3 linked regions of the Drosophila melanogaster genome follow. The protein of the gene in region 2 interacts with the protein of the main gene of each other region in a pairwise test. Each region holds a gene or a part of one and is shown on either strand. Other genes may lie near its edges.

The links.
Region 1: the proteins of sc (region 2) and E(spl)m7-HLH interact in a two-hybrid assay, tested with the Drosophila melanogaster proteins (3 studies listed by BioGRID).
Region 3: the proteins of sc (region 2) and E(spl)m3-HLH interact in a two-hybrid assay, tested with the Drosophila melanogaster proteins (2 studies listed by BioGRID).

The regions. Positions count from the first base shown.
Region 1 is NT_033777.3:26,034,692-26,039,525, reverse strand, and holds E(spl)m7-HLH (enhancer of split m7, helix-loop-helix), read right to left. Parts: upstream 2,489-4,834; 5' UTR 2,364-2,488; coding exon 1,803-2,363; 3' UTR 1,507-1,802; downstream 1-1,506. UniProt on the Drosophila melanogaster protein: Participates in the control of cell fate choice by uncommitted neuroectodermal cells in the embryo. Transcriptional repressor. Binds DNA on N-box motifs: 5'-CACNAG-3'.
Region 2 is NC_004354.4:393,399-399,067, reverse strand, and holds sc (scute), read right to left. Parts: upstream 3,009-5,669; 5' UTR 2,892-3,008; coding exon 1,854-2,891; 3' UTR 1,571-1,853; downstream 1-1,570. UniProt on the Drosophila melanogaster protein: AS-C proteins are involved in the determination of the neuronal precursors in the peripheral nervous system and the central nervous system. Also involved in sex determination and dosage compensation.
Region 3 is NT_033777.3:26,019,485-26,024,633, reverse strand, and holds E(spl)m3-HLH (enhancer of split m3, helix-loop-helix), read right to left. Parts: upstream 2,812-5,149; 5' UTR 2,615-2,811; coding exon 1,940-2,614; 3' UTR 1,507-1,939; downstream 1-1,506. Other genes in the region: E(spl)m4-BFM (enhancer of split m4, bearded family member), read left to right, coding at 141-599.

The DNA of each region.
Region 1 (4,834 bases), on a different chromosome or scaffold from region 2:
ATCGTTCCATCGTTTGGGCTGTCTGATCTCGGGTTTTTGGGTGGTTGGCAGGGGGACGTGGGTCAAACGGGCGCAGAAAGTGTGCCCCGCGTGCCACACTCGTGGCCGAGGTTGAGTACTCAATGCCCAGGCTGAGGTGAGGTGGGCCTTGTGCCGGAATGTCTACCTATGGGATGCACATAGTTAACTTCCTGCAACCCCCTAATTGGTAATTAGTAATTTTTCACCGGTTAATTGATGTGCACTTTTCAAATATCTTGTCTTATGGTAAATGTGGTTTGTTCAATGTGTGGCTCATCCTAATAAGATTGTTAAAGTAATCATAGGATACAAAAGTTTTCTTTGAATTTAGTTAATAGGAACTTATAATGTCTGGCGTATCTTTCTAAACCCATTTTTAATTAGCTAATATTAAGTGCTTTTGGTTTCGGAATCTTGGGTTTCGCATGCAAGTATGGTGTATTAGAATTCCATTGAGTAAATTTCACTTTCGAGTTAACTTTTATAAACTCTGTTTCTATTAGGAAACTAATCGACCTCTGACATCGATGCCTACCTATGGGATTTGTGTCCCTCCCTTGCAACCGCCTAGGGTATGCTACTTCCTCACTTAATAATTGAGATGGATTTGTATATCTCCCTTACAAATCTTGAGGGTTCTTAATATTGACATTTTATGGGTGGAAAACAACGTCATTGATTATTGTAATGGGGAGGGATACTCTCACTTCTTATAGTATTTTGGGTGTCAGAGGTTAATAATGTGGTATGAATTTGGAATTGAATACACTTACCTATGATTTTACGTAATGCTATTGCAACCCTCAATATGTGATGTAATTTAATTGATTAATTGTAAAAGAATAAATTTTAAGGGATTAAATATAATAGGGTATAATGTGTGATAAGTAATCGAGACGCGTGCTGAAACTCATTTGTATGTTTCTTGACCATTCTTATTGACCTTTTATTGGTGGAAAAATTATAATGCCGCATTTAAGGTTTATAACAATGTATTGTATTGTGCTAAAGGATGTCAAATACTTTCATTTCATAGTCTGTTGACAAAATAGTTACTGAAATAGAATATAAGTAAACACATCGTGCAAATGAAAAATAACGACCATTAAAAATATGAAATTAAATTCCTTTTTATTATTAAATGCATGCTTGACAACTAAGTGCACATTAGTGGAGCATGTTTTGCTATTATGTTTAACTGTTATTGAAACTTGTTATTAATATAGCTCGTTTAGGATAATGATGGGCTTTAAGATAATGAACATAATTTATGGGAAGTCCATTTTTTTACACGTGTCCTAAATAAGCTAGTGCACACGATCGTTTTATTATATTGGACCTTAAAGTTCGCGCATACCAACATTAAATATTTTCAATGGAATCTTCTTCCTATTGGAATTTAAAGACAAATACTGAAGTTCAATATCCCCTATTGGATTGTGCTGTAAAATAGATTCCCCAAATAATAAGATTCTTGTATAATTTCATTTCATATTTTGATTTGTATTTAAGTTTTTCATTTTGTATCTTTTCATATTGTGTTCTTGAGATCTCTTAGCTGGTAAACATTTGTATATATGTAGAGTAAAAAACAGACTTCTGCTCGATTGATTTAAGACAAAAGTTAATAAAGCGTGCCCTATCACAGACTTAACTTAGAAACCTAAAACTTGGTAACGTAACAAATAAATGAGGATCATTGTAAAGCATTTTTTCTAAAGCTGCGGTTCCAATTGCGTGATTGCCCGTCGGGAATTCAGTCCTTCCAAGTAGATCTTTGTTTACCAGGGACGCCACACCTGTCCGGGGCTGCTGATCTGGAGCAGAGACTCGTTGTCGCTGGCATATCCACTGGAAACGGGACTGATGGAGGAGCAGGAGCTGGCACTGGAGTAGGTGCTGGAGCTAGAGCTGGATCCACAGACGATACTGAGTGGAGTGTTGACGGCTTGCGGTTGTTCCATGGGCTGCTCCAGTTGGTTGAGACGCATGCCCAGATGGGTCATCAGTGTGGTTCCAAAAGCCACATCCACTCGGGGAAGGGAGGCCAGGGCGCGGGACACTTCGTTGGCTGCCCGGATGTATCCAGCACGGAAACTCTGTTCGGGATTGGCCGGAACATGCTTCTTAGACTCTTTCAGCTTGCGGAGATGCTGCACGGTGACTTCCAGGATGTCGGCCTTCTCGAATTTGGCATCGCCAGTCTGAGCAACGCACTCGGCCATCAGATCCTTGAGCTCGTCCAGGCACTTGTTGATCCTGGCACGACGCTTCCGCTCCAGCAAGGGCTTCATCACCTTGCGGTACTGATAGGTTTTCGACATCTCGTATTTGGTGGCCATTGTGTGTTTGTTTTGTTTATTTGTTGCGTTTAGGTAAATGGAAGAACGACTTGTTGAAGAACTTCTTCGATCTTTCGGAGGAGGTTATCCTGAGATGTTGACTGCACGACGATTGCGTTCGAAATGTTGCATTCGTCTCCGGTTACCGCTGCTTTTATAGCTGCACGTGCCGCCGCGAGAGCGTCTCGTGCTCAGCGCACGCTGCTCGGAGAAAGAGAGAAGAGAGAGCTGCGGAGCCTCCGAAGAACCACCACCTGCGGAGCAAACTACTTTTACTCAGTCACTGGGACACGATCCTCTCGCCTGCATTTTCGGTGGTGGGTTTTTCTCCACAAACAAGTTTGGAACACACCTGCGGTAAAAATAGTATGAGAAATGTGTTTAAAGCAGCTATAGTTCTTCGAGCGAATATACAAATTTGTTGTTATATACCTAAGAAGTACGTTACGTTTTTAACAATTACTTCAAATGGGTTTCCCTTAAAGCACTTAAATGTCGTTTTATTAAACAAAAAGAAATTAACATAATGTTATACGTTTACACCTAAAAAATTAAATTAGCACACTTCTTAATAGTAGTGATTTTGAAAATATAAACATTATCTAGAACTTTAAATATGTTCTCAGTACTATTGCTATGGCCACTGGTGTTCGGTGTAAGTGAGTCTCGGCAGGGGATGAAGATGCGATAGTGCAGTGGTGGTGGTGCGACGGTGGTTGCACATGCTGCTTCTCTGTTTTCCTTTCCACTGACATTCGAATCGTGGGAAACACTTTGCCCTCAAGTTTCCCACAAGATTTTTCTCGCTCGTTGGTGTTATAAGTTATAATCGGAGGTAGCCCGTGTGCGAGTCCCGAGTCCGAGCTCCGAGTTCCGAGCCCTTATGCACATGGCACAGTGGGCCAAACCGATGAAACACATGCGGGAATTTTGAGGGTGCCTTGCTTGAATGAATTCTTCAAGGCTTTTCCAACTACGTGAAATTTAAGGTTTACGGAATTTACGCATACTGTTATCTACTTGCTAGACAAAGTTTTAGCAATTTCTGTAGGGATCGTGGGAATGCGAGTTTTGGGATGTCGGAAATGGGGTTTTCCAAGGCGAAGATGTGTGCAATTTTGGGACTCGCAGGTTTGGAAATCAGTATCTTACGGATTTTTTGTTGCCTGTTCTCAACTTGCTACGGTTAATTTGAGAACCTCTATTCAAAGTCGTGGGAATGTGAGTTTTCGAATGTGATTTTTGGGGTTTTACCAAACGGAACATGCGTGCAATTTTACGACTTGCAGGTTTTAGAGTAAGTGTTTATGGATTTCTCGATGTGTTTCTACTTGTAAAGAATTTTTACTAAACTATCTGCTATGTTGGAAAGGTACATTTGTTCCTAGAGGTTTTTCTAGGCATATATAGTCCGAGTATAGGGACTTTTGTGAAAGGTGTTTTCTACTTGCTACGGATAATTTTGTTAGCTGCGACGGTGAGTGGGAACCTGAGTCTTGAAAAACATTAAGGTTCGTGAAGGTTGCAGTTTACAGAATATCTATGTATGGGATTACTGTACCCAGATGGGTGAAATAAAGAAATATTTGGAAAAGATGTTCTTGTCAGGTTATGATGTTTAAAAAATTTCTAAAAAAAGAAACCATTTTGTAGTTTGTAGCTAAAAGCATCTAAAGATTGTGACAAGACCCTAAATTGTTTTCAACCAATTTTCGTTCCATTCGAACCACTGTAAATCTGACCGAGCTGCTAGTGCGAGTCACGGGTAGTGCTGAAAAAACTACCACCTGCCCTTTATTTTATTTAATTTTTTCTTGTCCATCGTGGGCCCTACACATATCGCCCTCTCCCTCGCTCCTGCTCTTGTCAATTATGAATGCTGAATTGTAGCTTCTGTTGAACACTTGGGCCCTGGGTTTCGTTTCGGATGGCATCGGTTGGGATCGTCCATCGCTAAGTGGCATACATATACGCGTATGGTATTCCTGCTCACGTCGGGACATCATCATCGTGGGACCCAGGTCCCAGAAAAAGGGATGATTGTTCGATGGATCGACGAGGGACATGCAAACTAAATGACTGTACGGCAAATTGACACACACTAAAGATTAAATGTATCGCATTCGTTAACTATATAAACAATATACGTGGCCGGTTTGAGGAACGCTGGCTGCGGCAGGAAGTGTGTGTGTGCAGTGCACTGCGTGCTGAGAGTGTGCTGAACAACGGGCCGTTACAATTTTTCTGGCGACTGTGAGAAAATTTCTCGAGCTGCACATGGCCAGCTCCGGGCTTTTGTTGTTGTTTTTTCCACTTTTTATTAAGTAGGGGCAACCATTTGGGCACGCATCGGGGTTGGCTTATTGTCAATGCATCGCTATAATCGCTGCTGCTGCTGGGCAACCGACGTTGCTGGCCGTGTAATTGAATATGTGTGCGCATGCTTGGCACGCCAAACGCGCGACAGACGC
Region 2 (5,669 bases):
TAAGTATCAATTTGATTGTACAAAATAATTGAGTTTTAATAAAAATAAAACTTATGCATTAGACCACATATAGCATTTGCATTGATTAGATTAATGCTTCAGATAAGTTACAGGATATTAACCGAATAAACCTATGTTTGAAAAGAGTATAAGAGTATATTCTATATTCCAAAATCCATCTTTGTATTTTTTATTTTGGAGTTTTCTTGTTTGCCATTCTTCGTTTTTTCTGTTGGCTATCAGGCCGTTTGCATCGCGCCTGCGGTGTAAGAATAAATGCTTCAAGTAACAACTTCGTAAAGAGCTGAATTATGAGCTTAGCTGCGACTTAAAACTGCTTTTTTAGCCATCAATCTGCCGTCCTTAGTCCTCGAAACTTTGGGCGAGCCTATAATTTGGTCAAATATCTGGGGTCTGATTAATGCAGGCGGCTGGTTTTTTGTACCACAATGTTGCTGGCCTGGGCGCCGAGAAATCTATTAAACTACGCTTTTAAATCAGAACCAAATAAAATAAAAAACGCAGCTGAAAAAAAGGTTGCCTTTCTTTAGATTCTTTAGGAAAGGTGAAAGTTCTTCCGGAGCTGAACGTTAAGCCTTGCCTACAGAGTCTCGCAAAAGAAAATAATGGTATTCCAGAACCCATTTTCATGATTCGAAACAATTGCATTGAGTTGTCAAGTGTCAGCGTTGACATTGAAAGAAAAGATCCCCTATCCCTTATCACTTCCTTTGGAGCATCCAGCGATCCTAAGGACAATGAGGTCCTTTGTCTGTGATGCCCTTTAATGTGTCAAAATATAGTCTATAGTCGCATTCTCCCATGCGTTTGTTTTTCTAATGCAACGTGATTTATTGTCTGGCCAGTGGAAGAGGTTTATTCCAACGGACTGACATCTCAACGGTGCGTGGGAGTGAAGAACTTAGTTATTGTTTGGGGTAAGGTGTTTGCATTTAACTTTTTCAGAAGTGTAAAAAGTGGGTAAAATACTTTTTTGTAAGGCCGTACATTATAGGGAATACTAGGAACTATAGTTAAGCTGAGCAAATTCAAAAGAAAAAGTCTTAAAAGTGTTGATCGGGTTAAAACTACCTCACTTTATATATTTAAGTAGTAATGTATACATAAATACGAACTCCTCTTATATTGAATAAATTGTAAATTGCTTTTTCGACACTTTTCCTTTTTTAAGTTCAATATCTGATCTGAATTTCAAAGTCGTAATTGTAAAACTAGTAACCTTTTAAACTAGTAACCTCGTGGCACGTGTCACAGGTGTCATCGTCTTACCTGCGATAATTTGACATTCTTAGAAACTACCTGAAGAAATAGGAAACTACTGGTCTAAAACCAAATACTGATCTATGTTTTGCGTTATCTGTAATTCGTATTAATGATTTTTGGATATAAGAGTGATTTTGTAAAACCAATGCAAAGCAACCTTAATTGTACATAACGGCTGCACATGGTCCCATCGGCACTGCAAGGCAATGCAAGTAGTACCCGAATGTTTTACAAACCTGATCAATAGATGGATCCCCTTTGAGAAAAGAACTTAAATATGATTTTTCGTTTAATTTTTTCATTTTATTTTTCCACCAAAAACTAATTAACATAAAATTGTATTAGCAAAAAAATATGTTTTCGTTTCCATGCTATAGTTATTTCATAAATATATAAATTTGAAACTGGTCTCGTGGTTCTTAACAATGTAAAAAAATAGCTTAAAGTAAGAAAAAAAAATTGGGGGTATGTTGTTTTTGTATTAGTGTTATTTACAATTTGAGGCACTTGGTTCAACTCAACATTGACTAGAAGAAAATAGGGCGTGGTGGTAAATTTTGGGGATTAAGTCACTGCTCCTGCCATAGAGAGATGTAGTCCAAAATCTCCTCGTCGTCGGGGGTGCAGTCCTCCTCGTCTAATTGAAAATGTTCGTACGGTTCAAATTTTAGCTGAAGTTGGGAGTGCGTGTGTAATTCGTTGTCCAGATGATCCAGACGATCCAGGTGGGTGGATATTTGTTGGGGAACTCCTTCGTAGGTGCCTGAATCAAAGGACATGCTGGAGTTGAATGATGATGTTGGCGAGTGGCAGGTTTGCTGGTTTTTGCTGGTGGATACGCATCCTGCATCTCCACCTGGTACGGATGTGCCCACCAAGTTGGTATTTAATGAGAGCGCTGTCAGCGGTTGGTGATTGAACTGCTGCCTCTGTAGCTGCTGCTGTTGTTGCAGAGGACTGACAGAGATCGTGTTTTGATAGTAGGTATTATGCCCTGAGGAACTGCAAGTACTGCTGCTCGAACTGTGACTGCTGGACTCATCCAAACAAAGTTGAAGCTGGGTGACTGCATTGTTGGCACCAATATTGCTGCCCCCATTTAGGTCATCCACCAGATCCTGAAGCCTCCGGATGTACTCGACGGCAATGCGCAGTGTGTCTACTTTGGAGATCTTTTTGTGAGGTCCTCGACCACCACCCTTTGTCAAATCCGTGATTATGGATTGTGGTATATGTTGCCGCAACCTGGCGAAGCTGTTGTTCACCTGCTTTACACGATTTCGTTCTCTAGCATTGCGCCTTTGGACCGACTGGGATTGGTCTACATTATATGGAGCCGGCGAGGAACCAGGCGATAGAGATGATACTGATTCAGAGCATCTGGTCAGTGCCATACCCCTTGGTGTATACTTGCGAGTCTTAATTGGCATTGTGCCAGCGGGTTGATTTTGATTGCCACCGGGAATTAATGGACTAGGGGCTGGCATTATGTGCTGATAACGAAAGATCTTCGTTGCCGAATTGATGGTCGTTGGAAACGTTTCGTTGGTGGACAGCACACTCGATGACATGGTAGTGCTTTTCGTTGTATTATTATTATTTTTCATTAACACACTCGGAGCTTTCTTTAACTTTCCGGATAACGATCAACAGAAAAAAATAAATGAACAGAGTACAATACTTGAACTTGATCGTTTGACACCTTACACAAGAATGAGTCCCTTCGTCCTAAACCCTCGCGTTATGTACCCTTTATGCAACTCTCTGCACAACACTCAGGCAGAGAAACGGGCGAGAGAATCGGAGAGAAAGAGAGAGAGAGAGTGACGGCAAGAGCTACCTGCACAGGTAGGGAACTCGAAGTGAGTGAGCCACAGGTAGTCTCTCTCTCTTTCTCTGTCTCAGGTACTCGAGTATCCCACAGGAAAACTGTTCTCACTCGACAGTCCAAAAGAAACACTCAAATTTTAAACTCAAAATATCAACTCGAAATATCGAAAAACGATCAAGGTATCTGAGTGAGGGCTCTTTTTGCTACGGCACGCCAGCAATTTGATTTCTGTGTTAATTAACTTAGCAAAAGTCGCGATCGCCAATTTTATGTGCAGCTCACGCACGCTTCTATTCATTAGCGCCGGACGGATCCAAGGGATCGACAGAAGATCCTGGGATCCTCCTTATTAGACATTCGGAGTACGCTCCCTAAAGGTGTTCAAACAATTTCACTTATTTCTCCAATTAAATTATCAAAAGGATCACAATTTTTTGTTAAGTAAATCAAAGGGATGTGACACAAGTTCTAGAAGGAAGTTTGCAGTGAAAACTGCGGTTCTTTGTTTGTGGCTACTTGTGTTTTTTCTAGAACTACTGGGATGTTGCTTTAAATATATTAATTTGTTTGGGAATAATTTAGTTCTGGGTTTGATTAAATGTTCACACATTTGACTTTTAACGGTGTATACTTGTTATTTGTTCTATTACATAATGCGGTCTAAGGTAAAGAAATACTAGACATACATGAAGTTTCATACATCTTCTTTGAAATAATAAATTGATTATTTCAGACTGTTGTAACTTGCCATTGGCCACTGTGTCGTGCTAAACGGCGACTGTAAATTGTAACTTCCGCTCTGTTCACAAAAATCGGTTCATTTTGTCACGATCATCAATCGATGAGCGAGTGAAAAGATGCCAAATCGGCGACCAGGTGTAATATTTTTATTGTCCTCAACTCGTTACCCTCGTTTGCTTCTGCCAGCATTTTTCTTTTGCCAAATCATCAGCAATAGCACTTCTTCACTTCTATTTGGCAAATTTTAGATCCCCGGATCCCAAAATCAAAAACCGAATCCGAAACCAAAACCAAAGCGAAAACCGAAATCCTGATAACAAAAAAACCTTTTCAACCATGACCAGCAAACGGCGCTTCTCTGTGTTGTTCCTATAAATAAAATCCTTTCACCATTTCCAATACCTTTTTTGCATGCTGAACTTCGCTTGGAGTCTCCACTCTTTAGTTTTTGCATTGTAACGGAGGGATCGGTAGTTGGTTTCCATTATTTTACCATCATTAACACTATCATTGTTCTTGAGTGTTGCAGAAATTTTGGCAGCACAATGTTCTATTTAAATTTTCGCATTTTCCAAAATTCCATTGAAGCATTTTAATAAATGGTTGGGAGAAATGCCGGTGACATGCCTAGAATAGGGTTGAAGTCGTCATTAGAAACTCCACTCAGTGAACTGTGTGATCTATGGTGTATGCGGACATTTAACTGAAGTGGAATGCATATAATGCATATACGCGATCCTTTTTTCCTTGAAGCGGAGAGTCATAAGCAAGGTTGGTATAATCGCGTGTTCGGTACAATTGATTAATCATAGGTCCAATTCCGGTCACCGCTTGCATGTAAATGCCACTCATACCTTGAACAAGCATTGGATATTACCTTCAAAATTATAGTACCTAGTGTAGGAATCTTTTAATTTTGAATGATTTAAATTTTATATTTCATAAATGCTTCATTTCCTTTAGTATATAATATTGTTAATTTAACTCTATCTTTGTGGAAGTCTTTTATATATTTTCGGAAACTTAATAATGTTTTTTTTATTATTTCGAAAGACTTGTTCTTCAGGAAAACCATCAGAAAGCAAGTTAAGTAACCTTTCGATGTTGTCCCGACAACCAGTAAACATTTTTTTCGGACTACCTTGTTTATATCCTTTTTCCAGACGCAACGCTTGGAGGATTTAAATGCGTAATTACTTTGATATGAAGCATAGTTCCGGACCGCGAAAACGGGAAATGGAAAGGACTCAAAAGTGTAAGCGAGATGAAGAGCGGGGCCCTTGCGATAATTGGGTAGGAGCAGGATGGAACGAGGCAGGATATATAACCTACCCATTATATGGGTATATATGGGTATATATATATATATATATATATATCCTAATCGGTGGAGCGACGCGTGCGTTTTTCCAACGAAACTTGAAATGCAAAAATGAATGTTGAATCTTAATTTAAACGAGTTTTCGTAGCCAGGACCTGCAGAAGAGAGCAGGAGATCGGCGAAAAAAGAAAAAGTGAAAAAGAGTGAGGGATACAAGTATATGTATACTTGCATATAGATATTTCTGTTGTCGCGTTCATTTCTACACGTAAAAATATTATTTAATAGGTTGTATATAAAATTATTATAAGTGCATTACAAGAGTATATAGTGAAATTTCTGTTATTTAAATATTTATATTTTAAGTAAATGTTTTTGACCATTTTTATTATCAAAAGTTTTAATATAAATCTAAGTGACGCTCGTGGTTTAATTTTTGCGTTTTACTGTTGATGAAGCGTAGATGTATCTCTCCCTCTTTATTTAGCTCAG
Region 3 (5,149 bases), on a different chromosome or scaffold from region 2:
CGGCTTCGGGTTTCTCCACGTCCTGGCGAGTATAAAAGGACCCTGGCTCGGAGGATCAGGCATCATTCGAGCTCAACGCTTCGTACAGTACACATCTCAGCTACACAGCAGCTAAACACAAAATTCCAAAACACATCATCATGTGCCAGAACAAGATCAACACCAACAACACCATGACCATCAAATCGAACAAGAAGCTGTCCTACAGCGTGAAGAAACTGCTGCAGAAGATCTTCAAGCAGCAACAGCGCGTCGAGGAGGAGCAGAACCTCAAGAACGCCCTCAAGGCCAACTCTTTGGAGTCTCTGGAATCCATGGAAAACAGCCGCAACGCCGATCTGGAATCCGCCTCCATCTGCGCCTCTCTGGAGTCCTGCGAGAACGAGGCCAACGAGCGTCTCTCCCAGTCCTGCGAAATTGAGGACTACGACTTCGAGCAACTGCCCACCGTTCCCGTTCACTTCGTCCGCACCGCTCACGGCACATTCTTCTGGACCGCCGTCTCCGATTTGCCAGCCGACAACGACCTCGTCGAGCCCCTCTACTGCAGCACCTCCAACGCCATCGCTATCCCCCAGGATCGTTGGGTTCAGGCCTAAAAAATATCAGCGTCCTGCAACCTGCATCCATCATCCGGCAACTATGTCTTCCATTGGATCTCCAGCTTTAATCAACGTCTTCCGTTAATTTTTGAAACCATTCCACAAAAATTAACACGCAAGCCGATCAACTCAACTGAAGAGCTTTACAAAAATTGTGATACATTTTACTTAACAAACACAAAAAAATCAAAATATATATACAATTTAAATGAAATCAACCACTGTTTTTTTTACTTTTAATCATTGATAAATCGTATGAAATGGGCCTTCTCTTAAATCACACATTTGGAAATTGGTAATCTTTACCAAAAATTGTGTTACATTTCACCCAAAAAAAAAATAATTGAATAGGAATCTAAATTCTTTGTTTCCCCCTTATTGTTCCAACAATTTTCCGTTTACAAATCAACACAGAAAATAAATGGGGAGCGAAGTCCTTTCTTAATTGGCATGACTCATTTGAAAAACGAGCGGACCCTAATCCGATTCGATCCTGAACCTTTTTTGGTCTTATTGTTGATCAATTTACCTGCCAGCAGGTAGTGCATATTGACGGTTGTTGTTTGGCCTGTTGATTTGGACCACAATGCCAACCAGTTATCGGGCAGGTAGAGAGGATCTGTTGATTGCCGATCAGATTGGTGGTAAGAACAGGCTCCAATTAGATGATCTGCTTATGGGAATGAATCAGGGTCGAGTCGAAAATGTGTTGCATACATTTGAGGTGATGTTCAATTAAAGGTAATTTATTGGGGCAGTAAACAACATTGGCGGACTGGGACAAGAATGAACAGTATTCCGTTAGGTTTGCATAATATCGTTCAGTTTGTTTATATTTATTAATATAACAAAATAAATATTTTATAAAATTTTGAAATCCCGCAAAAGAAAAACATTGTGTTTTCAATTTAAATCATTTATTTTATTTGGGTAGTGTATTTTTGATTATTCTTTCTCAACTAATCATAAATTAACATTTATAAATTATTTAAAGCTTAATATATGCTAAACAATAAAGAGAGCGCAACGAGATATTAAACTTAGGGAACTTTTGGAGTAGGAAAATAGCGCACTCGAATATATATTCACTGATTGATTGATCAACGTACTTTAGTTATATCACAGTTGAAATTAAACAATTAATTTACAAATTACCATTATCGGAACTAAAACTAAAAGTATTTCAAAACCATTCAGAAATCGATTAGACCTCAATTAACTTAGGTTGATATGATTTACTTTGGAAGACAACGGATCTTGTTGCAGAACGGTCAATAGCCATTTTTTTGGGTTGCGATTATAATATTAGGGATAAGATCCATATTGGGCACGCCCAATTACCAGGGCCTCCAGACGGGCTCAGAGGCGCCGGACTCCTGCGAGCTAACCGACGCCGTCTCGGATAACGCATTGCCATCGACGGATGTCACATCGATCAGTTCGTCCTTGCTGGTCAGGAAGGAGCTGTAACTAATGGCGGCAGCGGCGGCTGCCGGTCCATATCCTCCCAGCAGCGGGAAGGCTAGGCGGCCTGATGATTGCGGTATTTGCTGCTGCTGGTGTTGTTGCTGTTGCTGCTGCTGCTGGAGCAACTGCGTCTGCAGCTCAATTAGTCGCGTCGATAGGAATTTCATTATCTTGCGCCCAATCTCATCGGTTTGCTGTGTCTGCAGCAGGACCTGGGTAATCTGATCGGCAGCATGCACATAGCCGGAGCGAAAGGACTCCACGTGGGCGGTACTGGTTGAGGTGGGTGGGCTGCCAACACCAGCCACTACTCCCTGCAGCGAAAGACCACCCCGCTGCTTGAGTTTCCTCATGTGATCCACGGTCAACTCCAGGATATCCGCCTTCTCCAGCCGGGTGACGTGCTCGCCCTCCTGCTGCAGGCACTCCACCATCAGATCCTTGAGATCGTCCAGACACTTGTTGATCCTGGCTCGCCGTTTGCGCTCCAGCAGCGGCTTCATCACCTTGCGGTACTGATACGTCTTGGACATCTCCATGACCATGATCGATTGGGTTGTTTTATGTTGTGTATTTTAAGGATTGTTCTTTTGTATTTAGTCTCTCAACTGCACATTATCACTACTGATTTTGGTTGGTTTCATAGATTGGTTACTTTTTGACGAGTTTGTTGCGCGTGCGTTGCGCGTTCCACCGATTGCGGTGCGTTCGAGTGGCGGCACTTTTACGAAATGAGTGGCAAACTAGTTCCCAGCCCTACTTTTATATGACAGCCACGCTCTCCCGGCAAACGGGGATCAGGCTCTCCCGGCCACAAAGCTCCCGCATGATCACTCACACACGCTCCCAGGCACTCGGGCCCAAGATCGAGTTCCACTTCGGTTCTTTTCGGTCGCGGATCGGTAGCGGCGCTCGGCAGCGGCACAAAGAGAGGCTACTGTAGGCCATCGATGATGGGGGTTGTACCGTCTGCAGGGGGTACAGTGGGACCATCACCATGGAACTCTTTACCTTCTTAATTATGCTTATTATAAAAAATAAGAAATAATCCATTTTAGCAATGCGAATATAATATCAATATTTTTCATTTCCAATAGTGTTAAATTTGTGTTCTTTATATTTTGCTACAACTATTTTTTATATGACTCTCAAAAGTATGCAACATAATTGTTCAACCAAAAGGACGATTTAAAAATTTGCTAAATTTTAAGACCTGAAAGAAAGCAATTTCAAAAAATATTAATCACTTACAAAGTTAATAAAACTGCAATTATTTTCGTAAAATCTGCTTATTGAAAGTAATACTATTAGTCCAAAATTAGTATTATTAACCGAAACTAGTCGACTTCGAACCAAGGTGCATGCAATGGGAGCGAGCGAGAGCGTGCCCCGCCGCAGATACAAATGTATCTGTATCTGCAGCTTTGGTGCTCTGGCGCGCGTCGTCTTCAATTGATTGCATGGCCAGAGGGAAACTGAGCAGTCGGCAGTCGACAGTCGGCTTTCGGATTGGATCTCATTCTCGGCGACTGCGCGTGTCTCTCAGGCCGCTCCACCCCGCCCTCCATCCCCCCTCATCCATGTCATACTTATTGTCAATGATGACAGTGCTCGGCTCCCATTCGCTGTCGAAGTCCGCTGCTCCGTACCGCTCACACCAACAATGAGAATGAGACACGAGGGAGCCTACGAGGCAGTAGCCTATGTGATTGTGGGTCCCATGGCTCAGTGGATGGGGATGGGTGTTTGTGTGTGTGTGCGGTGTGCCTACTTTACGAGACCGTGGGAAACAGATTTGTCGTGTGTTTCCCACACGTTGGACGGATGGCTGGATTGTGATGCGATCCGATGGATTGCTGAAATGTTGTTGCTGTTGCTGCTGGTTGATTTCAAGCGGGTTGACTGTCAGCCGCCAATGGGGGGCAGTGGGCGAACTGGTGAGGGATGGCTGGGTGGAGGGGCAGCCTTAACTCGCGCAATTATGTCGCATGCTTGGCTGATGATGATGACTGCGACAACTGCACGTGGACAAAATGTGCGGTCTTTTTGGGAGTTTAAAGTAGATTTGAAACAATTTCAATAACAGCAACTATGTTAATTACCAATAAATATAGATCACCCCATTTCGGAAGAATGGAAAATATATATATTTTGATATTTTACTTATAACCGAATTCAAATGTAATCAGTTTTTTTTTTTAAGTTTTCAAATATTTCTCACAGTGCACAACCACCACTATGGCTGGGGCTGTGGGTTGACTTTTCGTTGAAGCGTATCGATTAAGTGTAACAGTTTCGCTATCTCGGCGCATTGGGGGTTCCAAAATGAAAGAAATAAAACTCTTTTTGCATAGTCCGATTACCAACCCTTCGGCATTTGTCGCCTTTCGTAATAAACTTTAACATCCGGTTGTCGTTCTAAGATTCGTTTTTCGCCCGTCCTCCACATATTTCTTTTAATTCGCTGATCTCAGGGCTACTGGTCAGCACTGAGTGTATAAAATGTTGCCTGTTTTTTATGCCCCTTTTTTCACAGCTGCTGTTGGGCCGACTTTATCACCATCGCAGCAATATGACACTTGTGGTTGGACGCCTCGGAGTTATTTTTTGTGGCCGTGCTTTTTGCCTGGCTAAGCATTTCCCATGATGCTGCAGAATCGCTCTGTTTGTTTGTCTTCTGGCCATGACTTCCGTTAGCCGTTTGGCTTGACTTGGCTTGCCTTTCTGCTGACTGGAGCCATAACAATTAAGACTCTCAAGGCATTTCGATGGTTCGCCTTTCAAGATGCCTCAACTTTCAACTCGACCGGCACACGTGGCGTATGAGTAATGCGAATATGCAAAATAATCACGCAGACACCGATGGACAGAAATAGAGAGACCGCAAAACCATTTTCGACTAACCTCAATGCACACTAATTGCTTGTCATATATGCCCGTCTGTTTGTCTGCCGATGTATATATAGTTTTGCACAAAACTTGTTGCCATCGCCAGTCGTGTGAACCAAAAGCTTAAAAGCCAAATAGTTGCTGATGGGTAAAGGCAGTCTTGACGGGTCATCGATTAGCGAATTGCCAAT